Linked DNA regions of Rhinolophus ferrumequinum. The protein of the gene in region 3 purifies or fractionates together with the protein of the main gene of each other region. This does not show direct contact. Links are inferred from orthologs where the notes say so. Each region holds a gene or a part of one and is shown on either strand. Other genes may lie near its edges. The genes, in order: PROSER2, SLMAP, STK25 and CTTNBP2.

Region 1 (7,657 bases), on a different chromosome or scaffold from region 3:
AGGCTGAAGCTGAATAATATTGAATGTCAGCTATAACTTTATATATATATATATATATATATATATATATATATATATATATATATATATATATAGTCACGGATATGGAGTACAGCATAGGGATAGAGTCAGTGGAACTGTAACAGCTATACACGATGTCAGAGGGGTAGTAGATTGGGGGAGGAGGTTATCACTTTGTGAGAGGTGTAAATGTCTATTACATTGTTTTGTACACCTGAAACTAATAATAATAATTAAAAGAAAAAAGAATGAATGGATGCCATGCATCCTCTTTTTCTGTTTGGACCTCAGTCACTTGGCAGGTCCTAAAGCTTGCAGGAGCAGCACTTGTTCACCAAGGACCTTTTGGAGTCTTCTTTTTCAGAACTCTTATCGTTAAATTTTAGGAATAACTTATTTATGTTTTCTTCCATAATTGTTTATTCCACATGTTTCTCCTTCAAATACTGACGTGGAATATGGACACGGTAACACATCATCTACTTGCTTTCAGGAAGTATGGAACATTTCATTATTATCGTTTTATAGTTTTTCTCTAAACTCGTCCCCAAAAAACCTCCAGGTCATAATTTCCTCATCTGTAGAAGTAGAATAATTATTTCCTTTTTTTAAAATCAAGAAATTTCACTAATAAATCATCCTTGATGTGTATCATTCTCCTCTTCCTTCCATCATCTATCAAATATCTATTGAATGTTGAATATAAACCAGATTCTATGCTATGTACATTGGTATTTACTGTCTCATATAAAAAAATATTTATTAGTCTGCATTGATTTAGAAAAGTAACATAGAGTCACAACGGAAATTTGGAACATATACAATACTATAAATAAGAATCACATAATCAGAGCCAGAAACAGTAACTGTCATCCTTTTGATATATTTCCTTCTAGTTTGTCCATATATACATGCATTTTTAATAGCTGAAATTATAATTTACACACAATTTTGCAATTTTTTCCCCTCTTACCAATAATTTAGGTATTTGCTTGTGTTCATGAAAAATTCCTCGGTTTTAATAGCTGCATAAGAATTAATTTAAACTTCCCCTAATTTTGGATGTTTTGGCTGTTTCAAATTTTCTGACATTATAGAAAAGGAGACAGTGCATATCTTTATGTACAAATCTTTGTGCTCATTTCTGATTATTTCTATAGAATCCCTAGATGGAATTATAAGGATCAAAATATATAAACATTTTTAAGGCTCTTAAAATATTTCATAAAGTTGCTTTCCAATAGCTATATCAACTTATGTTCCCACTAATAATATATAAAATTGCCCATTTCACTGCATTTCTGCCAGTATTGAATATTACAATTTAAGAAAACATTTTCTAATTTAATAGGTGCAAATATTGTATTTTATTTTAAATTTTCATTTTTAAAATTATTTGGTAGTCCAAACACACACACACACACACACACACACACACACACACACACAGAGCTAACTACTAACCATTTTTATTTTCTTTTTGAGGAAATTTTTCCATTGAGTTATTAGTTTTCTTATCAATTTGTGTGTACTCTTGTATTGAGGATAAAATTAACTGTCAGATTTGTTATGCATAGTTTTGTGGGTTTTTTTTTTTCCTTTTCAAATTTTGTTCATATTATTTCTAGTTATCAGAATTTCAAATTTTTTTATGTAATCTAGTCTAACGGTCATTTCCTGTATGATTTTCCCATTTCGTTTCTTCCCCCATCTTAAGGTCACATATTTGCCTAAATTTTCTCCCAGTTATAAAATTCTTTAATACAGCTGAAATTTCCTTTAGCACATAATGAAAGGTAAGGCCTCAACTTGATTTTTTTCAAATTACTAGTTTACTAGTAAACTAGTTTACTAGTAAATTACTAGTTTTCTCAAGCCCATTTACTGAGAATCCATCCCTTTTTCATTTATTTTAGATGACTCTTTTACCACATATTAAAGTCTACACTGTATCAACATTATCTTTTTCTGGGTTATCTATTCCATTCTATTATCTACATCATTCAATATCTATTATTCTTCTATTCTCCTTTAAATTATTATAGCCTCACTTCAATAATAAACAGAGCAATTTACCAGATTTTTCTTCACTTTCATAATTTTATTAACTCTCCTCATCTGCTCTTTGTTCAGGTAAATGTTAAAATAACTCTGTTTTAGCCTCACAGGGTAGGTGTTAACAGCCTTGTTTTACAAATGAGGAACGGAGTCTCAAAAAGGATAAATAGCTCATGTTTATACATCTCCACCATGGAAGAGGCATAAAGCAAAATCAAGTCTTAACACTTTCCCTTGCAGCTTTAAAATGCTATCATTTTTTTGTAAAGAAAACTCATGAAATTTACTAACCATTCTTTCTCCTTTCCTGTCTGCCTCTCTCTAGTGGCCATGACAGATATTGCACTTTCTCAAATCACTTAAAACAGTACTGTAATAAATTGTATAAAATAAAAACATGTTTAGTTTAACTTTTAGTTTACTCTAAAATTTTAATCTTACACAAAGCTCATAAGAACAATTATCTAATTTGGGGGGTCATGCATTACCAGCATTTTCTTTTAGCAACAAGCAGCCCTCAGAAGACATTTATTTAAAAGTTGAGTGACTATAAAGTAAAATTTTATAAATTTCATGGGTTTTAAAGAAGTAACAATAGCATATACAAAGACCCTCCAGATGTTTCTTTGCTCCTTTTTCCCCTTGACATTCTCTAAGTACTTTCATGAATAACGATCTTTCAATTCCCCCCCTAAGTCCCACTTCATGTCCTTTCTTACCTCACTTCATGTCCTTATGCTCTTTTAGTCCCTTTGTGTATGTTCGATTAGCACAAAGGTGCCTAGACAGGGGTGCAGAGGGGACTGGAAGCCAACCTGTGCTCAGGTGGTCACGCTGGGCCCTAACTGGGTCTGTATCCGTCCAGAGGAAGAGCCACCTGTTTGTAATTCCCACAAAGAGCTGAGATGTGCTCGCGGGGGACGGGTCTCATCTCCTCTGCTGCCTCGTCGTCGTTGAAACCCCCAGTCTCTTCCCTGTTTCTTTCCCGCCCCCCTTGTTTGCCTTTTTCTTTTCCCCTTCTTCCTTTCTAATCTGATCATCCTTCAGTTTCTTATTTCTTCTTCAACTGTAAGAAAAGACACTGTGTAAAATTAAATTTTTACACAAAAGATAATGTGTAAATTAAAAATTTTAAGTAAACTAAAGAAATGAAGTTAAAATATGTTTATACGTCTGAAAGGTTAACAAAGCAAAAGGTACAATAAAAAGAAAAAATTCTGGGAATTTTTTGTCAAAATGTCTTTTTCTTTATCTGCATTCCTTTAGAAACAGGGGTTGCCTATATTACCTCTCACCTGCGGGTGTTTAATATTATTTAACCTTTACTAAGCCAATTAATGATAAATGCATTCGTATTTAACACAATATGGAACAAAATTTAGAGGGGAAAAAAAGAACGTAAACAAAAAGCTTAGGCCCTTTATTCATCAAGGATTAAGGACTGACAGAATTGATTCTCTCCTGGATTTGGTTCAGAAAGAGGGGGATAATCACACTTGCCTAATTAACTAGCACATTGGGTAGATTAAAGTGCTTTGCAAACATTAATTAAAGATGCAGGGAGTTAGACGAGGCCAATGTGTTATTAGAGAAAAAGTTTTCTCCCCTTTAATCAGGTATCTCTTCCTGGGGACGGCAAAGAAATGATCTCAGGACTGAGGAATTGGGGCTCAGCCCTGAGTGCTGCCAGTGAGTCAGCCATTCTGCACAACCAACCACTTCCTTCCCGAGTTTTCTGTAGAAGGGGGATAAGCCCGAACAGCAGTTTGGAACATAGGTGGTTATACTGTCTGCCATTTGGGTATATAGCAAACCCTACAATTAATAAAAGCCGTAACTCTTGCTTTCTCCCTTCCCAGAGTTGTTCCTTCCCACGGAAACACTAGTAACCTTAACTTCCACCACCTTACAAAGCGTTCCACACCAGCTATTACCTCAGTCGATTTTCCCAGTGATAGAGGCAAGGAGAAAAGAGCACCAAGCAATGGGGTGAAAACGCTGGACCGAGTTTCTTGGCCTCTTTGATCCTGTTTTCCTCAGATTCCTCCTCTGTAAGATGGGAGCAAGAAATCAGGGGAGAGTTGTGAGGATTAAATGAAATAATATGTGTATGTTAAATGCCTTGTCCAAAGGTAATAAGAATTCTATATATAGTAGTTATTATTGCCAGTAAATATAAAATAACCTCTCAAAGCTGACGGGGCGGGGGAGGGGGAATGTTGGGAGAGGATGTCCCGTTTCTTCAGAGCTTCAAACGCAAATCCCTATTACTTTTCTCCGCGTGTGTAACCCAAGAGATGGCGGGTGGGGTTTCACTCAGATGGTCCCCAATTCAAACATCACAAGGAGACCGAGGAGCCCTGCGAGAGGCAACCACGGGCAGCTCCCGCGCGGGGGCCTGTCTCTTTAAATGCGCCGGGCGCGCGCTTTGTGCGTTTCGGGGGCCGAGCCCTGGATGGTGGGCGCGCAGCAGGGAGGTGCAGCGCGCATGAGCGAGCGCGCGGTAGAGGAGCGCGCGGCGTGCCGGAGGGGCGCGCGGCTGTCGGGGAGCGCGCATAAGAGCGCGCACGGCAGGGGAGCGCGCGGCGGGAATGTGAACGCGCGGTGGGCCGGCCCGGGACTGTTGGCCAGGAGCGCTCCGGCTGATCGGCTGTCCCACGGCGCGAGGGCTCCGGGCGGCGGTCCGGGGGGCACCTGCAGTCCCTGGGAAGGGGGCTCCTGCCAGGTGAGTGCGGACTTTTCGATCGAGGGCAGGGTTAGAAGGGCGGGGTAAGTCCTGGCAGCCGGTCCCCTCGCCTGGCACGTCGGTGAGCTGGGCGGTGTTTGCAGTCTGATGAGGGAGGCAAAGTCGGGTGGGTTTCAGGTAGAGAAAGGTGTTCCCATTTTTTTGTGAGCTGCGCTTCCCACGCTTTTCTGCGGTGCCCTCCTTGCGTGGGTCTCTTTGCGAGCTCTCCCTCTCCTCCACATCGCTTGTCCCCGTCTCCTGGAAGTTAGGAAAGACTGGCGCAGTCTGAAGGACCGTGGTCACCCCGGTGACCTCACTCACGGGAAACCCGCTCCCTCCTGTGGGATTTCAGGGGTTCGCGTGCGCCGCGGTCGCGGGCAGTAGGGAGGACGCGGCGTCTTCCCGCTCCGAGGTTGTCCTGTTGGGGTGGGGGGGCGCACGGTGGTCCGTGGCACATGCTTCGCTTTGTGCGCAGAGCAGTCCCGGGTGTCCCCAACAGCCCTCCCGTTTCCGTCCCGGAGATGGGCGAGGGAGTCGTCGCCCCACTTGCCACAGCGGCCCTCGAACTCTCCGGGGCTGTCTGTCCCTTACGCGGCGGGAAGGAGGTAGTCAGAGCCACCTGTTCAACTGGTGCTGTGCACAGTGACCAGTAGATTTTCATCCCCACCTCGGCTCCCTAACCCCCGACCCCCGGCGGGTAACTGAATCAAGCAGACACGTGTAGGATCTGCTAGTGAGCCGGGGCGGGAGGGATTTTCAAAAGAGAAGAAAATGGGGCGATGTGATGCAATTTAACAAAAGGCAATAAAATAAACGCCAGTATTTCTCCAAGGCTTTGAAACTTTCCCAGTATTGTCTTACGGAGTCTAAATTTAAGCGTCTAGCTTTTTTTTTTTTTTTTTTTTTTTTTTTTTTTTTTTTTTTAAACCGCAAGAACTAACCTCAGAAAACTTAACTCTCTGCCAGGACCTAGTTGATGCAGAGCTGAAAACTTAAATTGAGTTAAGGAAAATGATTTTTTTGTGTCTTCTCCCCCACCAAAAAAAAAACCCAGAGTAAAACGTTCAGCTCTGTTGCTGGAGACTGGGGGAAGAAGGCTCCTTCTAGCTCCAATTTTAATGGAGAACAATTTCTTTTTAACCCGTATTTCTGAAAGGTAGAAAAACACTAAACCAGGTGTAAGTGTAAACGTCAGGATAATGCTCGCAGGAGTAACCTTTATTAAAGATACTTTTCTGCTTTATGTTTTTAAAAGCACTACATACTTCACGCTCGCTACAAAGTTTGCCCTCATAGTTCCATGTCTGAATGTTACAGATTGTTTTTCTAGGTGGGGGAGGTATTTTCCTTCATGAGGCCAATGTGGAAATACAAACAAATGCCCTATTTACTTGGGATTGGGTGGGAAAGGTGGAAGTTGTCTAAAATCTCTCTTGCCAAACTTGACAGCGTATGTATGGAATCTTGTGTATTTTCTTGCCCAGACCAGTAATAGCCATCTTCAAATGAGCTTTCCTTTGAAATTTTTGGATGCTGATAATTTAAAAGTAACATATTTTCTCCATTACTAGAGATCAGAAAGCCATAGTTAGAATGCTAATGTAGAAAAGGCTGGAAAGAGGAGAGATGCTTTTCAGAAAATCTGAGTATGTCTGACTCTGTGGTGGCCCCCTTTGTGGCAGAGGGGATGTGCCTATTTTCGGGCTGGCCCCAGGTGTTCATGAATTCATTCAGTGATATTTGTAGACGGTTGAACACCCACAATGAGCTGAGCACTGAGCTAGTCACTGCGCATACAAACATACCCAGATAACAGCCATATGGCCCAAACTGATTAAAACCAGATCAAGTAAGCCTTCCTCAGGAGCTGAAGATATACCTGGCCCTGGTTCCAAAGTTCTCAGACACCTAAGGAGCCTATAGTTGTCACCCTGTGTTGATTCTAAAGATCATCTCAAATAACTACAAGAGGTGGAGTGGAGCCTTGAAGCCTGAATCCAGAGAGGTGAAAGGCTTGGGTGGAGCAGAGAACAGGGGATCCTCTGGAACAAAAAGTTCAAGTGCATCTTATCTACATGGTTGTGGGACAGCCGCCAGTGGCATGGAGGCCATTCAGGGGAAGGTGCCAGAGAATCCTAGGAGCATCCTAGAACTTGAGCTCTTCCCTTTGCTGCTGAAGGGCAGCATTTCGTTTCAGTTTCCATTGCCCTTTCTGGTGGCAGTGGTGGCTTCCCCGCTGTGCTCTGCAGCTCTCCCTGTGATATCCTGCGGCATTCTCCTCTTAGACCTTTGACTGAGTCCAGGGGCTTTGTACTGAAAGCCACTGTTCGCTGACACAGTGGGGTCAATATAGTGGGAATACTGGTAACATCTGTAGAGAACCACCGTGAAGCTGCACCTGTCCATAACACCCTTATCCATCTGGTCCAGGAGTCACGGCATTAATCTTGAATCCTATTTTAAGAACGTGGGTCTGGATTTCTAATCCATGCAGCCAGGATTGGTGGTAAAGGAAAGTGTAGGGCAGAACATTCCGCCTTATTGGATCAGGATGTGATAGCTCTATGAATGCGTTATCTTCAGGCAGGATATTTGCAAAGATCCGACCACCGTGAAGACTTGATTCTCTCACTCTTTTTTAAATTGTAAAGTACGTATTAAATTTGTCATTTTAAAGTATACAAATCAGTGGTATTATTAAGTACTTTCACATTGTATGTGTTTGAGAAGAATGGGTTTTCCTTTTTCTTTTCTGTAGAGATATCCATTAAATGCACCTTATTAATTGCATTATTCCTCACTAACTTTGTCTACTTAACATATCAATAACAAATATATTGAAAGACCTCACTA
Region 2 (7,437 bases), on a different chromosome or scaffold from region 3:
GATACTCTGCTTAAGCAGTTATGCAAGTATTCTATAATCCATTATATCTTATGTCATTGGTTAAAGTCTAACTAGATCATTATCATTTAGGGAAGGTTGCATTGTAAGTGAGTTTACAGAGTTGTCTCCTACACATCTGAGATGCTAATAATCGCCTGTCTTTCCTGGTAGCAGGATAACAATGTTGCAATTATCTCTTTGGTTTTCTAAGATTGAAAAGTAGCATGGTTCATAGCAGTGGTGATTGCTATCAGTCTATTCAAAAGGTAAAAATAAAAAAAGGGAGAGAAAGCTACAATATTGGGAAATACTACCATTCCAAATTTCCCAAAACATAATGTTTTTTATTTAATTAAAATATTGAATGGATACAGAATCATAGAGAATCATCAAAATATTGAATGGATACAGAATCATGGCTTCGAATTCTACATATTGCCTGTATGAGATTTCTTAATTTAAGCCTTTTCTGTGCCCACTGAATACCAGTGGGTGAAGAATACCTTTGGTGCCATTTTGGCATTTCCAGCACCCTGCATAGCTTGGTAGGATTCTTTATCCTTCCAGGTTATAGCAATCCCAGCTTTTTTTTGCAGAAAAATAGCCTATCCTCTTTGTTTAACATTAATATTAAGAGATATTGTAATATCACTGAACATGAAGACATGTTTTTTGTTTCCACATTTATGAACAAGTTTTCCATATACAAACTAGGAATAATACAACTTGCTCCTTACTGTATGTGGAAGGCTAGAGGAATTCTGACTATTAGTAATAATAATAAAAACTAACATTCTTTGAATTTCCTAGGCATCATGGTAGATACTTTGTCTTGCATTATCTTATTTAACCCTAATAAGACTCTGGGAGGCATTATCTCCTTTTCTCAAATGAGGAATATGAGGCTTAGAGAAGCTAAATAATTTATCATTTACAATGCTGGTAAATGGTGATGCAATGTCTAATTCTGAAAACTTGATTTTCATTACTCTACTTTGACCTTCTAGGAGAAAGATGAAAATGTTCTGAAGTCCATTGGGTTGCCTCCAAGTCCTTCAGTAATTGAAACCACACTTTTGTGCCCCTCTCCTTAACCCCCAACCCTCATTGCTCCAGTAATACAGACTTACCTGTAATTCCCTTAAAGTCCTGTTATCTTAAGTACCTGGGTCCTTGTTTATGTTTTCTTGGCCTAAATTTTGTTATCACACGACTACCAGACTAGCTGGCCTACTCTTTACTCATTTTTCAAGTCTCAGTTGAAACTATTCTACCATGCTCCCATTAATCTTGATATATTTATTACGGTAAAGGTTTTATTGTGTCATCACCCAAATTGTGAGCAACTCAAGGGAGTCTTTCTTTCTTTCATGGTTGTATTTCCAGGACCTTCAAAATATCTTTTGTCCAATAGGCATTCAATTCAATATTTATAGAATGAATGAATGCATGAATGAAAGAATTTATAAATGACTTACAAGTTGATATACAGAGCTCATTAGGGATTTGTAGAAGGGCCTATATTAATTACTTTATTTCACATAAGCCTAAAAGCTACCCGAAATGAAAGTTTTTCATCCTCTTATATTAAAATTTTTCAACATATTCTTATTTTTCTCTAGAATAAAATATATTGAACACAGTACTAGTTCAATACATATTTGCTGAATTAGAAAAGTATACCAGTTCTTTACAATCTAGTGCATATTCTTCTCTCCAGACTCACTTTGTGGCACTCCTATTTTATCCTATAATAATGAATAACAGTATGTAATTTTATTCATGTATCAAATATTGTTCCTTTTCTGGTATTCTCTATTCCTGGAAATGTATAAAGGAGTTCAGCAAATTTCATATTTATTGTGGTTTTCCAAACTTCCTTCATTCAGTTCAGTTACCTCTCCTAGAAGGCGATCCCTGGTCCTTTTAGCACCCAATGCTTGCCTCTTTTAGTCCTGATTACATCAAAGTGAAATTTTTCTGCATCTGTGTTTGTCATCTCCCTACCCCCATCCCTAACCCACAACACCAGGTGTCCAGGTTTTGTTCACCTATGTGTCCCCAGAGCTCAGCAGAATTTAGGACGGGGCCAAAACAGTATATACAAGTATTGAAATGAATAATAGGTACTCTTTAATGAGCAACACGAATTATCACCTTGAATTCTCGCAGTAACAGGTGCGTTATGTATTATCTCCATGTTATAGATAAGAAAACCAGGTTTGAAAAGGTTTAGAAACGTGCCCAAGGTCACACAGTAGTAAAGTCTGTTGTCAAAGGAATCGGATGGAGCCACCATTGATTCTAAATAAGATTCATTTCCACCATCTTTTCTTGAACTTATCTTTAAGATTTTGCAGTCTTTTCTTCCTGAAACCAATGACTCTTCATCTGCCCTGTTACTATGGGTGGGGGCAATACCCCCTTTTTTCATATTGAAAATTGTTGGACCTTTTTGAGGAAGCAACGTGATTTTAAACTTTCTGAAGTCACACTCTTTCAGGGATAGAATCTGCGTTGGAGCTCTGGAAGACATGATAGGTACAGTGGAAAGACCGGTCATTGGAAATAGAAAGCAGGGACTAAGAAAGAGTTTTCCTCCGGGCAAGCTACACAGCGAAGACTTTCGCAGAATGAGGTTGGCCTCTCTCCTTTCAGACGCACAAATCCTAGGATTTGTGGGAATTTGATTGCTCACTCCTAAGGGAGCTGTGGGAAAACTATTGCCCACAGTTAAAATGGCTGCTAATATCGTCTCCTTTGGATGGCTCTGTTCTCCTTCCTCGTTGTTATTTTCAACGAGGACGGTAGTAAATAAAATGTAATAAAAGTTCGTACCGTATTACTAAGATGATAAAGTAGGAAGTTGGCATGTTTTGTTTATAAACCTGCAACGAGTCAAAGTCCTTCTTGCCCTTAACCAAAATGACCGTAGAGGCTGTCCCATGGTTTGAAGCGTTCGGCCCTTAACTAAGATGGCTTCCGGAGACTAGTTGAAAATTAGCTTGCCCTCTTTCCTGCCCCTGACAAGCATGGCTTCGGCAGCGTCGATCACGTGACATCCCCGGACTACGGCGCGGGAGAGGGAATAGGAGGGCCCTTGAAGGGTGCGCGTTCCCGTGGCTGTGCACCCGGTAGGTTTCAGTCAGAGTCACTATGGCGGCCGGCGCTGGCAAGGTAAGCTGAGGCGGCGGCGGCGGTGAGGGAAGCTAGACTTGTCGTGGCGTCCGGCCTTCAAATCCCCGCAGCCCGTCCGCGGAGAGGTCGGCCGAGGTTGCAGCCAGTCGTGGGGGTTTGGTGGGGGTCGGGTTGAGGAGCGCGAAAGCTGAGGCGGGCGGGCACCGGCGCCTGACGGCCGTTTGTTTTGATGTTTCCCTACCAGGTCGGAAAGTTTCCTGCCTCGTCTGGCATAGCCTGAGCGTGTCCCACCCGCCGAGAGTGGTGGAGGCTGCGGGCGGACTCAGCCCGGGGCCTCCAGGCCTCTCCCCCAACCTCCGGGCCAGCCTCCCTCCCCCACCTCCTCGTCCTCCGGGAGCTGCGGCTGCGGTCCCTGGGATGCGACCCTCGCGGGGGCGACCCTGAAAGGAGGCGGCCGGTGTGTTGAGCAGCAGCCAGGAGTCCAGGCGTCCAGGGACCAACTTCCTGCTAGCGGAGACCCCCGGGGTCGCGCCTCGCTCTGTCCGCACCGGCCTGCGGAGCCGGATCCCCGCCCTGGTCGCGGGGGACGCCCGCCAGGTGCCTGGGAGTCCCCACTTGGCCGCTGCCCGCGCCCCCGCGGGTCCCTGCTCCTTGTGCCAAGGACCCCATTCACCGCCCCCTCGGCTCGTGCCGGCCGGGGTCCCCGTGCCACCTCCCGGCGGCCTTCGCGCGTCAGGGGCAATGCAGACTGTCCCGCTGGCGGTCTAGACCCCTCGCCGCCCTCTCGCCCATCCACTTCCGAGGCCCTTGAGGACGGGCGGTGGCTACCCAGAGGTGCTCGGCTACACCTTCCTTCGCCCCGAAAGGACCTTCCTGGCCGCATCAAACCGACCCTTCCTTCATGCTGCAGTGCTGCAACGTTTCCGCCACCGAGGGGGGAAAAGCGGCCGCGATCCCAAACAAAACACAAGAATTGGTGTGTGACTCATCTGCTTGGATACCTCCAGTCCCCAAACTGTGTTCCAGGAGTTTTCTTGGCTGAAGCTGTCCGATGTTTGAGGCTTTTCTTGCCGAGGAAGAAGATGGACTAAAAGCTGCCAGTTGGGGACTTTTTGTGCGCTGGCTGTTAGAAGAGGTGATGGGGCTTGCGCTGGCTTGTCTTCCTACTCAAGAGAAGAGTTGTTGATGTTCACTGGTTATGCTTAGACAATGCGCAGTTTGTTTTAATTTAAAATTTTGGGGGGGATAGGGGGAGAGGCTTGCGAAGGGCAGTCCGGATCCGGTGGAACTCCTCTTTATCCCTTGAAGGAGAGACACCCCCCGTCTGTCCTCGATGCCGTCAGCCTTGGCCATCTTCACTTGCCGTCCGAACTCTCACCCGTTTCAGGAGCGTCATGTCTACCTGGACGAGCCCATTAAAATCGGCCGCTCAGTGGCCCGCTGTCGACCCGCGCAAAATAATGCTACCTTTGATTGCAAGGTGCTGTCAAGGAACCATGCTCTCGTCTGGTTTGATCACAAGACGGGCAAGGTAATGTCACCACATTGTCTAACAATCATTACTTTTTGTTTCTCTTTGTCCTTTCGTTATAATGTATGCGGGATCCCAGGGTTTGCACCCAGAGGAGACTTTCAGCAAGGCCCCAGAATCAACTTTTTGTATTTCTGGTTCTAGTGGAAATTTAATTGAGGTGGTTGAATGGAAAACAGAGAAGGTATTGTAATTAAATGCCTAGGGAGGGCGATGGCATCTTGATAAGTGGTCATTCCCAGTGAAATCCCAAACCCTAATTCGTTTCAGAAAACTAGATAGTGAAGCTTGGCTTCTTACTTGCAGTCTTTTTAGAAAGGTGAATTTGTAGTTCAGTGCTTGGTTAAGCAAGCAGCAGTTCCCAAAGCAATGCAGGGAATCTGTGGCCATTATTACACTGGGGCTCAAGTGTCTCAGCGGTGGGATGTAGTATACACATAGCTCTTAGTTGAGTTCAGATCAGGGCCTGTCTAGTAAGGACAATAGTTTGTGTAAAGTTAGTTTTTGAAAGATTTGATACATATATGCCCATGAAGGGAGTAATTTGCAATTATCAAAGGCAATTTAGTTAGGCAGGAATAATTATAACTACATTTTTAGAGTTTTGTTTGCAAGTCGAGGGAACATATATCTATTGTTTTTGTAAATCACTTTTTGATGTTCCCGGCAGCACTTATTTAAAAATACTGAATGCATTCTTCCAGAGGTGATATTTCACAAGCAGTGTTAGAAATTAACTTATTTTCTGAAATTATATCCAGTTCTATCAATGGTTGCATTACCTAGATGCCATAGGATGAATTTAGTGCCCTTCACTTTAAATGTGACCATTTTAACTTTTACATGTTGGCACCCTATTTTTCCCATACACGCGGGTGCTTATATTTTAAGAATACAAGGGAAAAAATTACATTAAGACCCTTTCACTTTTTAAAACTCTTTATGTGTGTGAAGAATATACTGATCTCATCTTTGCTTAAACCTTGGGTTTTAGTTGAGCTACTGAATCAATTCCAACGTAGAGTAAGTTATGTAAGATGAATAAGAATATCTCGGATTTCACCTCCTGACTTTTTGCTCCCTCTTTTTGAGTTAAATGATTAAGTCTTTCTTAAAAGAAGAATTTAAGTCTTCAAGAATAGTATTTTGAAATGAAAGAAACCTGAAAGGAAGAAAGTAATACTGTGTTGTTGCTGAATTAAGGAATTATTATATACATTTTTCAAAGAAAGTGGGAAAAGATTGCCCAAGTGCTGTGTGCTTGCATAATACCTATACCCTACTCTGTGTAGCATGAGAACTGAAAAGGATGTTAATTTTTCTATATAACACCAGATGCTCATTTACCTGTGAAACAGACCCTTTCTTTCCTCCCTGGAAGCTAAAGTTTGGGTGCCTGAAAGACCTTATAGATTACCGATAATAACTTAAAGTGAATATTCATAAAACCCATCTTTCCAGCAATCAGATTCAAACATCATTTAACTGCTAGTGCTTTAACCAGCTTTTACATTTTTGTCTCTGTGTCCCTGGGCAACAATTAAGGTCCAACTTAATCAGATAATAGGTTTGCTTAAAGTACATACTCTGCAAATGTACATTCTTTAGTTTGATTAAATACTGAAAGGAGACTCAGATTTTTTTCTTTTACTTATTTGAAAAACAGTGATTACATGAACAGTGCCTTTCATGGCTATACTAAAACCCCCACAATAGGTTATTTTGAGATGACTAAGAATAATAGATTAATAGTGTTGCTGTCATTTTGATGACATGTTAAAATTTTAAATGGAATTTGTTATTAGACAAACTTATATTTAAAGGATACACAACTTCTTCCTGCCATTTTTCCTCCCCTGCTTTATTAGCTAAAACACACTCAGGATGTGAGGCCATTACTTTAGGTGTAGATGTAATTATTGGTTATTGTACCTCCAATCTAGTTAAAACAAATAACCTGTCAGATTTTGCCATGTGCTCAAAGTGTTTTAGGAATTAACTACTTAAAATTTAAATTTGAGCACAGATTTTTACTAAACATCTGTTATGTGCCAGATATCATTAGTTCCAAAGAAAACCTACAATTTGACCAGATGTCATTTATTGTTTTCTCTGTGAAATATCCAGTTTGAAGATTTCTGCTATAATTGTCCCAACAAAAGTCCCCCATCTATTCCCAGTAAAGTTCTTTATACAGCACAAGAATCCCCTCATATAAGCGTCTGCTCGTGCAAGTTATTTTCCCCCCCAAACATCAATAAACCTCAGTTTTCTCTTGGGATAATAAGAGTACCTACTTTTGTTTCGAGGATTGAGATAACCATGTAAGTAATTTAGCACCCTTTTCCTGGCCTTATTAAATAGGGCTCACTACTTAGGGAGGAGAGTGTTTGGGTTTGGGGGAAGAGGCAACTATCTAGGACGCTCTGCCATTTGCTATAATGCTGTGGAGTCTTAGGAAGATAATGCGAATTTTTTTCCTCTAGGTGATGGCATATGTAGAAGTAATTTTTAAATTGAAACATACGAAGTTGAGAACTTTGTCCAAATTGGCACTTTACCTGGGAGATAGAAAGTTGGGGTAATATGCTCTTCGGTTGACTTTCAACTTGTGTCTGTTGCATTCAGCGTTGGCCATTAAGAGAGACCCATTAAAATCTGGAGGAAATAATAAACACTTGAAAGTTTTTGATTATTCAAGTAATACATATTCGTTGTAGAAAATTTGCAAAGTGTGGGCACATGGAAATCCAGGTGACACTTTTTCA
Region 3 (6,952 bases):
CAATAAAATCTTTAGGAAAAAAAAAAGTTTTCGGGTGGACAGGTGGCTCAGTTGGTCAGAGCGCGACCTCTGGGCAACAGGGCTGCTGGTTCGATTCCCACACGGGCCAGTGAGCTGCGCCCTCAGCAACTAGAATGAAGTCAATGAGCTGCCGCTGAGCTCCCGGATGGCTCAGTTGGTTGGAGCGCGGGCTCTCAACCACAAGGTTGCCGGTTCGATTCCCATCCAATGAATGGTGGGCTGTGCCCCCTGCAACTAACAATGGCGACTAGACCTAGAGCTGAGCTGCACCCTCCACAACTAAGATTGAAAGGACAACAACTTGACTTGGATGGAGCTGATGAGTCCTGGGAAAAACACACTACTGTTCCCCAATGAACAGTCCTGGAAATACACACTCTTCCCCAATAAAGTCCTGTTCGCCTTACCAAAAAAATCTTTGAAAACAATTTTTTTTTCTTTTAGAAAACCATACAGTGAAATTGTCTTTTTTAGTGTACAGTTCTCTGAGTTTTAATGCAGGTATAGATTTGTGTCATCCCTTCCACAGTCAGGGTACAGAGCAGTTCCCTCACCCCCAGAAACCCCCTACTGCTCTCCTCTGTGGGAGCAGGCTGCTCCCCCCACCCCTGGGAACTACTGGCAACTTCTCCCTTGTGGCTGTTGTTTCTTCCACAATGCCTCCTATACGGAATCACATGCTATGTGATCCTTTGAGACTGGCTCCTTCTGTCACACGTCTCTCAGTAGTCGATTCCATGTCTGGATGGATCGCGGCTCATCCACTCACTGCGGAAGGTACCTCTGGGCTGTTTCTAGCTTGGGGTCCGGCTGACTAGACATGCTGTAGACATTTATGCATAGGCTTTTGTACGAAGATATGTTTTCTTTACTTGGTGTAAATACCCAGGAGTGGGCATGCTGGCTCACGTGTTAGGTATATAGTTGACTTTTTAAGTAATCGCCAAGCTGTTGTTTAGAACGGCTGCACAGTTACACCGTATGAAAGTTCTGGGCTCTGCCTCCTCACCCTGAGTGACCAACCATCTGCTTTGCCCAGGATGGGAAGAGGGGCTTCCTGGGACATGGGACTTTTGGTGTTCAAAGTGGGAAACTCCTGGACAAACTAGGATGGTTGGTCACCCTAACCTCGCCAACACTTGCTAGTGTCAGTATTTTTAGTTTAGCCACTCTAATATGTGTGCAGTTAGAGTCTCGTCATGGTTCGATTTGCATTTCCCGGATAGTTAACGACATTGAGCATCTGTTCATTGCTGACGGCCACCCATCTATCCTCTTTGGTGTGCCAAGTCTATTCTCAAGTTTTCTTATTGGGTTCTTTTTAAACAAATGTTTTTATTAAAATATAACTGACATACAATATTGTTTTAGTTTCAGGTGTACATCATAGTTATTCAACAGTACCCACCTGGCACATACATAGTGATTACCATATTATTGATTATATGCTAAATAAGTGATCACCATCAGTCCAGCAACCATCTGACACTGTACCACGCAATTTTACTGTACTATACTATGTATATACTGTAATATACTGTACAATATTACTGACTATATTTCCTATGCTGTATATTATATCCCCATGACTTATTTGTTTTATATCTGGAAATTTGAACATCTTACTCTTCTTTATGTTTCCCCCCTTTTTAAATTTTTCGGAGTTGACATTCAGTATTATTTTATATTAGTTTCAGGTGTACAGCATAGTGGTTAGACATTTATATAATTTACGACGTGATCCCCCTGACTAGTCTAGTACCCACCTGGCACTATACATAGTTATTACCATATGATTCACTATATTCCCTATGCTGTACTTTACATCCCCAGGACTATTTTGTAACTACCAATTTGTACTTCTTAATCCCTTCCTCTTTTTCACCCACCCCCATTGGGTTCTTTTCTAACTGATGAGTTTTGAGAGCTCTTTATATATTCTCTTTCTCTCTCTCAATATATATATTATGTGATATATATATATAATACATATATATATAATACATATATAAATATATATATATTTTTCCTCTCTCCCTGTCTGTAGCATCTTTTCTTTTTTTTTTTTTTTTTTAAGGAGGGCGCAGCTCACAGTGGCCCAGCAGGGACCAAACCCGCAACCTTGGTGTGATTAGCACCGCGCTCTAATCAACTGAACTAACCAGCCACCCCTATCATTTTCTTAATAGTGTCTTTCTGGAAGCAAAATGTAAAAATTTTGATGAAGCTCAATTTATCTTTGCTTTTATTTGTGGTAAAATACACACAATATAAAATTTACCATTTTTAAGTGTACAATTCAGTGGCATTAAGAAAATTCACAAGTGGTGTAAACGTCACCACTATTTATTTCCAGGACTTTTTTTTTTTAATCACCCCAAACAAATTCTGTACCCACTAAGTAATATATCCCCATTCCCCTCTCTCCCAGCCCCTGGAAATCTCTGTTCTACTTTGTCTCTTGAATTGGCCTATTCTTGATACCTCATATAAATAGAATCATACAACATTTGTCTCGTGACAGGAGAAACTCAGCTACAGGAGAGTTCTTATGCTTATTTCCCTTAGCTGTTTTCTAGGTTCTTCTGTTTTAGCATGTGTCAGAACTTAATTCCTTTTTTATTTCATTTTATTTATAATTGTGGGAAAACACACATCATATAAAAGTGAGTGTGTGAAGCATGCTTAAGTGCACAGTTCCGTTGTTAAGCTCAGTTTACATTGTTCTGCAACCATTACCTCTGTCTCCAGAACTCTTTGTCTTCCCAAACTGACACTGCGTCCCTACTAAACACTCACTCCCCTCCGCTCCCCAGCCTTGGCACCACCATCGACTTCCGTCTCTGAATCTGACTCCTCTAGGGACTTGTGGGGACAGAGCCCCAGAAAGCAGTTTCCAGGCTCTCGGCCTCACATGGAAAGGTGCTGGCTCAGGTAGTAAATGGCCATCAACTGTGATTGGCTGGCCATCAGCTGTGGCTAGTTGGCCGCCAGCTGTAACCAGTGACCCATTGGCCACTAATATAACCGCCGTGGCTACGCTAGCAGAAAATGGGGGCTAGCAAGAAGATGGTGGCTGGCAAGCGCGGACTGCAGTTAGCACGGCAGAGTGCGGGTTGCAGATTGCAGAGAAGTGGACGGCAGGTTGTAGATAGTGTGGCTCCTGCTTCCTGTCTCCAACCCAGCCGCCAGCGAGAATATAGTGGTATGACTCCCCTCTCTATGGCTCCGTGGGTGTTCCTTTTTGGCCTCACCATGTCCTGCGTTCTTATGTGGGGAGCGGGAGCTGAGACCCCGCAGGCCGCCCCGCATGACAGGACTTCACACAAGGGGGATCACACAGTGTTTGTACTTCTGTGTCTGGCTTATTTCACTGCTCACATGCCCTCAGGCCTATGCATGTGGCATCAGGTGTCAGAAAGTCCTTTTTCAGTCTGAATAATATTGCACTGTGTGTATGCACCACATGTGTTGGTCCTTTCCTCCCCTCAGGACCCTGTGGGTGCTGCCAGATAAGCAGCAGCAGAAGGGCGGACGCCCTCCAAGGTGGAGGGGAGAGTTTTCTAGGGGAGGGGGGGGGCGGAGGGAGACGAATAGGAGGAAGCGGAGTGGATAGCGCACTGGGAGGGCGGGGAGGATGGAGAGTGGAGCCGGGGAAGATGGGGCGGAGGAAGAGGAAGGCAAAAAGGAGACAAGATAGAGCCCAGCGGGCCCCAACCCCAAAGCGGGGCGCCGGCGTGGCCCCGCCTCCCGGACCCGGTCCCGCCCCGCGGCCTGCCGGGAGACGTAGTCCAGAGCCTCTCAGGAAGCGGGACTCGGAGTCCCAGCGAGCCCCGCGGCGCGCCTGCGGGCCGCGACTCCGCCCCGCCCCTGGCCTGCCGGGACTTGTAGTCCAACGCGGGCGGACGCCCAGGCACTGGACGAGCGGCCGGACTCGGTGTCCCTGAGAGCCCTGCGCTGGGCCACGACGCCGCGCACCGCCCTCTCCGTCGCCGCCGCCGGCCTTTCTCCGGCCGTCGCCGCCGCCGCCGCTGCTGCTGCTTCGCGGGCTGGAGGGTCCGGGTGTCCCCCCGGGCGAGCGGAGGCTGCGGGTGGGAGCCTGCGCGGGCACTGCGGAGCGGGCCGGGGGAGGCCGGGATGGAGTACCCCGGAGGTGGGCGCGCTGCTGGGCGAGCCCGCGCCTGGGGCGGTTGGGGAGGGGGCCGAGCGGTGGGGGTGCCGAGAGGTGGCGAGCGGGGTGAGGGGAAGGTGCGGGGCTGAGGGCAGAGAGGGCCCCGGCGCGGGGTGGGCACCGGGAGCGTTGGCTGGCGCGGGGCAGCGGGTCTGAGCGCCGGTGCCGGGCGGGGGCCAGGTGGGCGGGGCTTCGGGGGGCGCTCAGGGCGGCGGTCCCTTCGGGGGTCGCGGGCCCCGGGCGGGCGGGCGGGCGGGCGGGGAAGGGCTGCCGTGGGGGTTTCCGGGGCCTTCCTGACGCCAGCCCGCCGCCCCCTTCGGAGCCTGTTCCCGATGGTCGGACGAGGGGCCGCCTCGCGCCCCCTGAACCGGCTGAGCGAGCGGCCTGCTGTCCCTCCAGTTGGCTGAAGCGAGCGAGCCGGGTGCCAGGGCCTCGAGGCGGAATCCAGGGGCCTCCGCGGTGGCGGCGGATGTTCTGAGCGCGGCGCGGACATGGCTCACCTCAGGGGGTTCGCCAGCCAGGTGAGGGTTGTTTCGGGGTGACAGCGGGCAGTGTGTCCGCTCGCCGGGCCGCCGGGAGCAGAGCGGTGCCTGCAGGCGCGGGAGGGGTGTGGGTGGGAACCCGTGCCGCACACCTGTGGGCAAGAGGGGGCGCGGTCCCGAGGCGCCCGGCGTGCTGGGGCTCAGGGCCGACGGGGGGGCTGCTGCAGCGTTGTGGGGTGCAGAAGCGCGCAGGCATGTCAGAGCAGCGCAGTGGGAGGCCGTGGAGGCTGTGCAGAGGCCCGGTCGGGACGGCGGCGTGGCTGGGGCGGGACCCCGGGTCTGTCCGCACGTCCGTCTGCTGGGATCGCGCAGGTCGGGCGCACGCGGGCCGGGGCGGGGCCTCCGGGGGACCCCTCGCTGGTGGGCGGTTAGGGGGGCTGGGAGGGTGAGCGGGCCGCTCTCCTGTAGGAGTGGGGGACGCGCGTGAGTGTGTCCATGGAGGGAGGTGCAGTACTTACCTGGTGGTACCGCCCTCCTTCGGTCGGTTGCTCCCTAGAATCCCCGGTATTCAGACACCTTGAGGTGTCTGACTCCACTGGCTGACTCTGGGGGACCCTCTGCAGTGTGCCCCGAGTTTGCTGGCACCTGGAAAGGAGGGTGTGTGTAGGGGGCAGTTGGGAGGCTTGTGGTCTGGACCTCCCCTCTTTTTTGTTAAAGGAAGTGTGATTGGAGCTGATGTGGCTGCCTGGTGGCCAGGTTTTCCTGTGTCCTCGTTGTTAGTTGTTCCCTTGACGCGATTTAGGCCAACTGCTGTAAGGCGAGGGGTGGCCTCTTACAGAGAGGAGTCCCACCGCTGGCTCCCGTGCACACAGTCGGGAGCTCAGCCCGCAGGAGGAGCAGGAAGCTGGGTCGTATGGTGCGCAGGGAGGAGGCGCCCGGAAGCCACACGCAGCTGTTGGGCAGGGCTGTTGGGCAGGGCGTCCTGGACCAGCAGTGGCCACAGATGGGACCGGGGTTTGCTGACGGACACTGAATGATGCTAACAGACTTTGCGTGTATGCTTGACATTTTGTGTCTGGTACACGCCAAGGTGCTGGGAGAAAAGTCCGCCTGGAGCTTGTTTTCTAAGAGCTGTAGGAGTGGCCTCCATGGGTCCCAGAGAGGAATTGGAGCAGGGAGCCGCCTGTACCGCTGTGCTGATGGTGCTTGATGCTTGGCCTGGGTGCCCACTCAGACCCGGGGAGGGGGCGTGGGTGCTGAGGAGCTGGGAAAGGGACCCCAAAGGAAGGACGCTCCCTTGTCCTTTCAGGGGCGGACAGACTCAGCCTTTGTCGCAGCAGGAGGCCTGATAGGACTGCATTTTCTCTCCAGACGGCTGTCACTGTGGCCTCGTGGGTGGTCCCTGTGTGGAGCAGCGGGCGAGCTCCCCCACAGCCTGTGCTCCTGCTCTGATGTCACCCCCGCCTACGGGCCGAATGGCTGGGGGTGTGAAAGCACCATGTGCTTACCAGCTGTCACCTGTCGTGTGCTGGTTGGGGACAGCTTGGCTCTTGTTTTGTGGGGTGAAACTAATGGCAGACATTCTGCCAGGTGGTAGCCCCAAATCTGGCAGTGCCAGGGCTGACTTGAGAACAAGGGCCTTGACCACCAGAGCCAGTTGAGCCACTTGAGTGTTGTCCAGACCACGTGCCTGGTCTAGAAGGGCTCCCGGGCCCCCAGACCTGAGAGCTGCGTGTCGTTCCTTCAGCCGGTGATACGCCTGTAGGGTCAGTGTTAGCCAGAAGTGTTCCTGTCACACCCTGTCTACTCACTTGACTGATCCGCAGCGGTGCTGAGACCTGAGGCTCGGGGCCCTGTCTTCTGTGGAGCCTGGACTCTGGCTTAGGGGGTGCACTGTGTTCTGCTCAAGGCAGTGGAGGTCTGAGCGGGCCGGCTGGGGTTCCTTTGGCGGCTGTGGGGGGCCAGATCGGCTCTGGCCAAGGCCGGGCGGGGCCGGCGAGGTCCCCACGTGGAAGCCAGTGGAGCAGGTTTTCTCTCTGGCAGGAAAGCCTTTTTGTGCTGCTCGCTCAGTGGTCAGCGGTATGGTAGGTCACACCTGAAGACCTGAGCAGCTGTGATTTGAAGCCTGCTTTCCCTTGACCTTGGTTTTGGGGTCTTCCTGGCAGTAGGCTGGCTGCAAGCTTCGCGGTTGTTTCTCTTCCACGTGTACTGGGCTGCCGGTTCCAGTGGGGCTGGCCACATCCCTTAACAGGCTGAGCCGCGGTGCAAGGGGACACCT
Region 4 (7,972 bases), on a different chromosome or scaffold from region 3:
ATAAGGAAAAAATATTACATTGCTAGCATACAACTACTTCAGTGGTTAAATGTTTCTTTAATTGCCAGAATGAAACATTCCATTCCATTAAACCTTAATGTTGATTTGTCAGAATTGTTTTTCTTTATTATTCTACAAGTGACTTTGCCTTCTCTAGAATGAAAGTAACAACACCCAAGCTTCCTTTCCCCTTTCAGTTCTTGAATCAGAAATATAATTAAGCCTTCAAGTCTAGCCATGACATTGTTTTATAAATATGAATTAAATTTTATTTTTTATTTGTCAGTCAATTGAATAACTTCTGATATATGTATATATTATATTATTTCTTTTCAAATAATAACATCACATTTCCAGGTGTTTTTAAGTGAGCCCAACTGATTTGAACCCATCAAAAAATGGCGTGGTGGACAAAAAAACTATTGTCATCAAGTGAGATTTGGGATAGTGTAAGGTGGAATTTTTGTCTCAAAAATTCCAAAGATATTTGAAACTGCATTAACTGGGTGTATGGCTATGATTATGACGGTCTGGAAAATGTTGATATACTGGTTTATTTCACAGTTTTACATGGAAAAGGTATACATTTATGGCTTTTCTCCTGCTTTTTGTATCATAAGTAAATCATCACTGAGACCATCATAAATGACATCCTCATATTTATTAAAATTGAAGGGCATCATCTTTAGTTTCCTTATTAATTCTTCAAACACTACGTTTCCTTTTGTACCAAACAATACATACCCATAGATAAAAGAAAATCTCAGCTTTGGTTTTATAGCTACCTCTACACTCTTAACCAGAGGAGAAAAGGGTCTGATGTCACAACCTATTTCTATAGTTTTAAAACTTTCTAAGAAAAATAAAGCTTGCTATAATTAATGCCTAATGGTATAAACACCCCTACATTAGTGGTTGCCTAGTAACTACATAGGCTTGTGGGGTTGCTAAATATGTTGAATACACGAAACCATTCAGGTCCATTTCCAATTCAGGTGGATGAGGGGCAGCAGAGGGCCAGATTCCTTTGTTAAAATTGGTTTTCCATGAGGGTTTTGAACTAAACCATCCTTCTGCACTAAAACTTACTTTCGTAAATGACTTCTGCAGATAAGAGTCCAAATCGACAAGCAATGGTTTAGGATTTTCAAAACATTTAATAGAACAGAACCAACTCTGCTTTATTGCTATGTATTAGCCCAGTTTTTCTTCTTAGAGTGACTGGTCTGGAGAATAATGTCATTACTGTACCTTTAACTTGTCAATAACATCTTATATTTGGACACCACTTTAGCATTGAATGACCACATGCAGTTGCCAACTAGAGGTGGAGTCAAAAGGGGCTGGAAGTGATTATAATGACATATATAAGTTTAGCTTTGGCTTGCTTCCTACCTAGCAGACTTAATTTTCTAATTATGTTTTGCTTTAGCTTAGGTAAAATTAGCTTGCATTCCCTTGGCACAGACCAGCTGCAGTGGAGAAGGCCTTCCAAAACCATAAATTGTTGACAAGAGTGGCTAACTAAACTAGGATTCAGTTTACTGAGTAAAATGTACGAAGAGCCTAAGTACACGTAGATAATGACAAGCTGACTATGAGGGAATGTAGTTAGGTCATATGAAGACTCATTTCTGGCAATGTCTTAGTTTCAAAAAAAAATAGAAACAGGGCCCTGAAGCTCATTTGCGCTCTGTTAGAGTTCCTGACGTCGAGCTTTGGGGCTAGCTAAGTTGGCAGCTGCGGTGTAGACAGGGATAAGCGTGGTCTGCAATATTTATATTGTATAACTACAGCCTTGTGGATACAGTCTCGAAAGGATTTGCTACTCAGTAATTTTGTCATTTGGCAATACTAAGACATGATAAGGCATGGTTTGCTCTTTGGAGTTTACATAATGTCATTTAACTGAAATAAAGAATTCTCTTATAATCTGAGGGAAACTGTTCTAGGATATCCTTTGTCTTTTCACAAGGGAGGAAGCATCCCTTGCTTCATTATATGTAACTCTCTGGGTTTTTGGTTTAGTGGGTTGGAAGATGTGGCTGGTGTGGCCAAGCCCATGGTTTAATCAGAAAACCACTTGGCTCCTCCACCACAATCTGCATTCCTAGCTGCAGCGACCCATTTCATTGGTCTTCAAAGAGAATCTTGAACAGTGTGCGCGGTAGCTGAGCACAAACACTTCCATGCCCCAGGTCAGGAAATAATTTGTCTTAATTCATTTGTCAGGTCATTCACTTCATTATGTTAAAGAGAAGACAATGTCACTAATAGTTTTCTCTGCTTGCAATGGATTCAGCATCTCTTCTTTCATTTTAATGCTGAAAGCAACTTACTGATTAAAAATCATTTTTCATTTTTGTTATAGGGATTTCTTTTCTTCCTGCTTATACTTTCAACTTTCTTCTTTTCCCCTGCCTTTCAGAAATTTTCACTCTAGCCCTGGGATGTCTTTTTCTTTCTTTCTTTCTTTCTTTCTTTCTTTCTTTCTTTCTTTCTTTCTTTCTTTCTTTCTTTCTTTCTTTCTTTCTTTCTCTTTCTTTTTCTGTTTAATGAAGCTTTAAAAGATTTAATTTCTGGAGCCATCAAGTCACTACCCTTTCAGATCTATTTGTTTTGACTCTAATACCTTAGAGCCTGTCTTTGTACAAAGAAAGTCTTTCAGAAAGAGTTAATTTGCAGTCTCAATCTCAAGAGAGGCTAATTCTTAGGAGAGAATTTAAACCAGCAAGTGTCTCCTGGTAGAGAAGCAGCCAGGGGACCAGCCCAGTGGTGAGAGAGTGAACTCCTAGGATGCTACTTCTACTTCTGTGCAGTAGGATGGGACATTCCTTCCACCCTGGGCAGTGGTCAGTGGCAGCTTTAAGGTAGAGACAAAATGCTGTTTATTTTCCTTCCTACATCCTGGATTTTAGCAGTTAAAAAAAATGTACTGTCCTGTGAGTTTTTTCCCCTGGTTTTCATTTTGCCAAAAAAAAAGGAAGTGAGAGGGAAGAAACTGCTCAGGGATTGATTAATTGATTCCTTTTCCTTTGTGACATGCTTCTGCTTTAATTGTATTTAGACTAATAGAAGCTATTTCTTCCCAATGATGTTTTTTTAATTGAGCAGCATGTATAAAGTAATTGGCATTTGCTTCCCAGAAATATTGTCATGTCATAGTCTTAATTCTTATCCCCCAAGTGAAGTTTATTATTTTATTCTTCCCGCACCCCCCAACCAGAAGTGAATGAATTTCTTGGGTAGCAATTCAACCACAACATCAAGTATCAGTATCAAGAAAATTCATTGCCTTGTGATGTGTGAAAGCACATTTTGAAAAGAACAAGGAATGCTTTTGGCTCCAACTTTAAATATTTTACTATCAGTCCAGCATCTAAGTTTTACTGTCAAATGCTTTTCTTTCATCTTATAAGGAATCTAGTTATTATCATATCGAGCAATTTCAGAAAGAATGTTGATAAAAGAAAGTGGTATAATGAACAGGGAGAAAAAGCGTAGGGCTAAGAGGAGGAGGGAGTAGCTATCACAGTAAGGTCCAAGAAAATAAATCAGTGAGCACCTTGCTTATAGAATTCCCAGGAGGTACTTTCTAAACCTGTGACCCTTAACCCCAGGGTTCCAGGTGAAAGTTCTTTCTTGATGTAGACCCATTGTGGAAGGGAACACTTTACAACTTATTGATGAGCCCTTTCAGAGCCTTTGCAGAAAATATTTTTTCTGCGCTCGTTTGTGTCATATTTAGATCCAATTTGGAAAGTGAAGCAATTAAAGTGTCAAAACCTTTCATTAGGAGTCTGCAATTTAAAAAAACAAAAGCGCTTTTCACCTGTGACCCTTGGACTGAACATCCTAGTCATTCATCTTACAGAATTTCGAGTCCAGGATTTGGTTGCTGTTTGATTTTATTTCTTTGAGACACAGTTTGAATGCTTCCATTTGATTTTGTGCTTTCAACACATTTTTGGGATCTGGTGATTTGGGAAGGCCTGTACCATATGGTCCTGATAAGGTGATAGATTTTCATATCCTGGAAATTGGCAGGAAAGGGTAAGATCTGAATCAGATGTGAGAAGGGAAAATTAAGAATTTGGGCCTAACTTACTCATCTCACAAAATATCTTCTAAGACTTGTACTTCCCATAAAATCAATTTTAAAGAAAAATTTTTTTTTGGGGGGGGGCCGGAGGGGGCTGTGTGTGCATGTCCTCACCACATGGGGGTAATTCTTTCCATTTCTCTTAAAAGTAGAGAGCCTCTTTCTACAAGTAATGGCACTTAACATTTCTTGGTTAGCCCTTAAGAAAATATCTCAGACTCGAAGGGTTAAAGAGGGACCCTGCTTCACCTTTCTTGAAAAAGATTGTGCAGAAAGATATGGGCCCAGGGAGCAGACACAACGTAAAAAGGGTAGCAGGACACATTTTCACTTGGGAGTTGATGGTTTGGGGAGAAACATGAGAGGCAACGACACAATAAAACAAAACAAAACACCAAGAAGGTGAAGACGCCCTGGCTGCAGTCTTGCAACAAACAAACAAACTTAAGCAAAAAGAACAGGGTGCCTCCCGTGATTCCTAGCGGTGGGCTAGACGGGACTGAAGTGAAGGATTTTCTTTATCCTACAGAGTTCAGATTCAGGAGGCCTGACATTTCATCCGCTCGGCGTGTGCACCGCTGGCTTGCTGGGGAAGGGGCCGGGCGAATCACGTTTTGGGCTCTTTCTTCCCTTCACCGCAACGGGGGGCTGTGATTCCCCATCTGCGCGCGGGGCCAGAGCCGGGCCTGGGCGTCCGCCCGTTTCTCGTACCTGCAGCGATCAGCCGGGGGACTGCCGGGCGCCGGGCGGGGGCGCCCCAGCGCGCAGCGGGTTAAGGCGGCGGGAGCGGCGCCGAGGGGCGGAGGGGGCGGAGGGAGCGCGTCCGCGTCCCCGGCCCGCAGCGGGTTACGCGCCGCCCGCGCGGCGAGGGCTGAACCCGGCGCCGCCGCTCCGAGCTCGCATTCGGATCCGCTAGAGCAGGAAGATGGCGACGGACGGCGCGAGCTGCGAGCCCGACTTCTCCCGCGCCCCCGAGGACGCGGCGGGGGCTTCGGCGGAGGCGGCGGTAACCGAGGTCCAGGGATGGGCGCGGGGACAGAGGAGACGCGGGCCGGGGTCACGTCCGGCGTCCCGGGGCGCTCCACCAGTCCGGGCGGCCCCCTCCCCGGGTGCCCCCTCCTCAGGGTGCCTTCATCGCCAGAGGCCAGTCCCTGTGGGGTGGGGTGGCCCCCCGGGCTGGGGATCGCTCCTGTCCTTTCCGAGCCCCCTGGGCTGCTGCCCGGCGGGAAGCGGCCGGGTCTGCCGGGTGCTCAGGGCTCCCTGCGTGCGCCCGGTGCGACCCCCAGGCCCACTCCTCCCTCGCTGCAGTCGGCTTTGGCCAGGGGCGAAAGCTGGGGTGTGTTTCCTGGCGAACTTGAACCCCCATTGTTCGCCTCTCGCGCGCGTGGTTGTGGGCGCGTGTCTCCGGGGTGCCTGGTACCTCTCAGCGGACCCAGGAGAGCAGCGAGGGGAAGGCGGGTCATCGCCGAGCAGGTGTGGGGATGCCCATTGTGTGTGTGTCCGTGTGCCTGAGGCCCCCCGGGCCAGGCGCCGTGCCCCGCTGTGGGCAGTGCTGCGCTGAGCGCCGGGTCTTTGGGTTCTAGCTGGCGGCGCTGCCCCATCACTTGGTGTGTGGGGGAAGAGGCGCGGGGGAAGGTGCCCTCGTTCTTCCTAAGTAGGTGCCCGGGCGAGGTGGAGGATCAGCACCTGGTAGCAACACATTGTTCTCCTTCGCTGGGGTCTAGAAATCGTATGAGCTTCCACCATCGCTGGTCCCCACTTTCACCCCCAGAATATCCCCTTGCACAGTCTCAGTGGTGGTTTCCAGCCCCTACCGTGGGGGAGGGCTGGACCCACATTTCCTGGGTAAAAACGTTCTCCGGGTTTGGGAAGCGGCTTTGCAGGAGCTGCGAGGATCTGCAAAGAAAGGCAGCTCTGGGAGCGCCTCCCACCTATGGCGCGATCCCACCCGCCAGATTCCGGGTGGGATGGAGTGAGAGGAGTATGGACGCTGCTCAGTTCTTTCTGTGACCTGAGCAGAATTGGTGCTGGAGCAGCAGAGGGCAGGGCCAGGTGTAAACAGCCAGGGCTGCTTTAACTTCCTCCCTCTCGGTTTGGAGGAAGGGCTTACTGGAGCCGGAGAGGAGAGATGTGGACGAAGCTGCTTGGGCGGGAGAGCAGCCGAGCCTGGGAAAGAAAAGAGAAACGGAGAGAAGGAAAGGAGGAGGAGGAGTGCAGCTGGTTTCCCGCTTGTGAAACTGGCAAGTTTTGATGTGAAACTGGCAAGTTTTGATGTGAAACTTTTAGTAAAATTGATTTTTCATTCTTTACTTGGAAGATGTGAACTTATCTTAAGATTTCCAATGAAACCTGCCTGCCTGTGATGCAGTGAGTCAGTCCCCCTCTGTGAAGCACTGGAAGGCAGCTTGCTATTAATACAGCACGCCTCTCTGGGAAGTTGAAATGACTGGGTGCCTTCATCCCCGAGAGACAGTAACAGGAGGGGAAAGAAGGGTGCGGGGGTGTATGTGTTGTTTCCCAGGAAGGTTGGATTCATTTAATCTACTTAGAACTGGCTTCTTTCTACCACCCGCAGTATTTTAATCACCTGACAATTAAACCAAACCAAAACATCTGATTTATGGTCTGTAGCTGATCTATAGTTTTATTTGGTTAGATTGTAAACAGAATCTTGGACGCCAGGCAGATTTGTGTGTTAACAAGCCCAGTGTTCCCTTTCTGCTGCTGAAATTTTCCAGGAGTCCAATTTTCAGACTGCGTGTAGGTGGGGATTTGATCATTTCACCCTGGTTAGTGGGAATAGTCCTGGGGAATCTGTGAAAGCGAACTCGTTTGTTATTTCCATAGAATTCTTTAGGGTTCCGAGGAGATGCAATGAGGATTCTTAATTTAATATATATATATTTTTTTAATTTTTAAATAACTTTTGACATTTTAGTAAAATTTTGATGATGGCCTCTATGCAGTGAACTCAACATTTAATTTTCGTTAAGGTATAGTCCTCCCGTATCAGCCACTTGTCCTATAGACTCATTTTTAAATTGAAGAAAAGCTAGGTTGAGGAATATTTTTCATAACTGCTCCTTATCTAATGATTAAAATTCAAAGGCATTTTTATGCATTTTGGGTTAGTGGCAACTGAGGACTTAAATCCTTTTTGTTTTTAGTGAATTTTTTTTTTCCATTTTAGAGATTTATTTCACTTCAAATTGGTTTACATACTATGGATTTTTATGTGTACATTTGGCAATAATGAGCCAATGGAAATGCCAAAGCAGTAGGCTATTTTTGAAAGTGAGTGTTTTCACTAAGTTTTGACTATTTAGATTGTTGCTTAGAGACAAGTTTAATTTATAGTTATCAGCTTAATCTGATTTTCAGTGGAAGGTTTTAAATTTAGTTTGTGATTCTGTTCTTAGCTGTTTAAATTCTGAAAGCATCCCAAGTGTAAAGCTGGGTAACAGCTACATTATTCGACAGCATCATATTAATAGTTTTTGCTGTGAACCATGCCGAGAGACCTGGGTTATTTTCAGCGCCTTGGCCAAATGTGATGACTTTTATAGGCTATGTTGCTATTTGTAGCCTGAAAATAGCTCCTGGTGGATAAGCAGTATGGAAAACAGAAATCTTTCTGTTTTTTATTTCACCAAAGAATTTAAGAGTTGAAGGAAAATGGAGCTCTTTTTAGAGCTTTGTTTCAGAAGCTGACCAACATTCCTGTCAGTCTGAGCTTTTCTGGAGCAGCTACTGTGCAAAAAGGAGATAAACATTTTGTTGCAGTGATAGTGATAAGAAAAAAACTTCAACAATGATTTTGTTAAGAATGTGCAATAGTAATGTCAAATTAACAGCTAGCACTTTGAAATT

What was found.
Region 1: the proteins of STK25 (region 3) and PROSER2 purify together in Homo sapiens (affinity purification with mass spectrometry; 3 studies listed by BioGRID and IntAct, counting the BioPlex papers as one, with this or other methods). This does not show direct contact. The link is inferred for Rhinolophus ferrumequinum from reciprocal best matches to the Homo sapiens genes STK25 and PROSER2.
Region 2: the proteins of STK25 (region 3) and SLMAP purify together in Homo sapiens (affinity purification with mass spectrometry; 5 studies listed by BioGRID and IntAct, with this or other methods). This does not show direct contact. The link is inferred for Rhinolophus ferrumequinum from reciprocal best matches to the Homo sapiens genes STK25 and SLMAP.
Region 4: the proteins of STK25 (region 3) and CTTNBP2 purify together in Homo sapiens (affinity purification with mass spectrometry; 3 studies listed by BioGRID and IntAct, with this or other methods). This does not show direct contact. The link is inferred for Rhinolophus ferrumequinum from reciprocal best matches to the Homo sapiens genes STK25 and CTTNBP2.

The regions. Positions count from the first base shown.
Region 1 is NW_022680355.1:16,669,109-16,676,765, forward strand, and holds the start of PROSER2 (proline and serine-rich protein 2), read left to right. Parts: upstream 1-4,651; 5' UTR 4,652-4,804; intron 4,805-7,657.
Region 2 is NC_046300.1:52,495,214-52,502,650, forward strand, and holds the start of SLMAP (sarcolemmal membrane-associated protein), read left to right. Parts: upstream 1-4,435; 5' UTR 4,436-4,471; coding exon 4,472-4,669; intron 4,670-7,437. UniProt on the Homo sapiens protein: Associates with the striatin-interacting phosphatase and kinase (STRIPAK) core complex, forming the extended (SIKE1:SLMAP)STRIPAK complex.
Region 3 is NC_046291.1:253,301-260,252, forward strand, and holds the start of STK25 (serine/threonine-protein kinase 25), read left to right. Parts: upstream 1-3,948; 5' UTR 3,949-4,112; exon of another isoform or gene 4,113-4,174; intron 4,175-4,591; 5' UTR 4,592-4,683; coding exon 4,684-4,713; intron 4,714-6,952. UniProt on the Homo sapiens protein: Oxidant stress-activated serine/threonine kinase that may play a role in the response to environmental stress.
Region 4 is NC_046309.1:25,219,041-25,227,012, forward strand, and holds the start of CTTNBP2 (cortactin-binding protein 2), read left to right. Parts: upstream 1-4,961; 5' UTR 4,962-5,027; coding exon 5,028-5,117; intron 5,118-7,972. UniProt on the Homo sapiens protein: Regulates the dendritic spine distribution of CTTN/cortactin in hippocampal neurons, and thus controls dendritic spinogenesis and dendritic spine maintenance.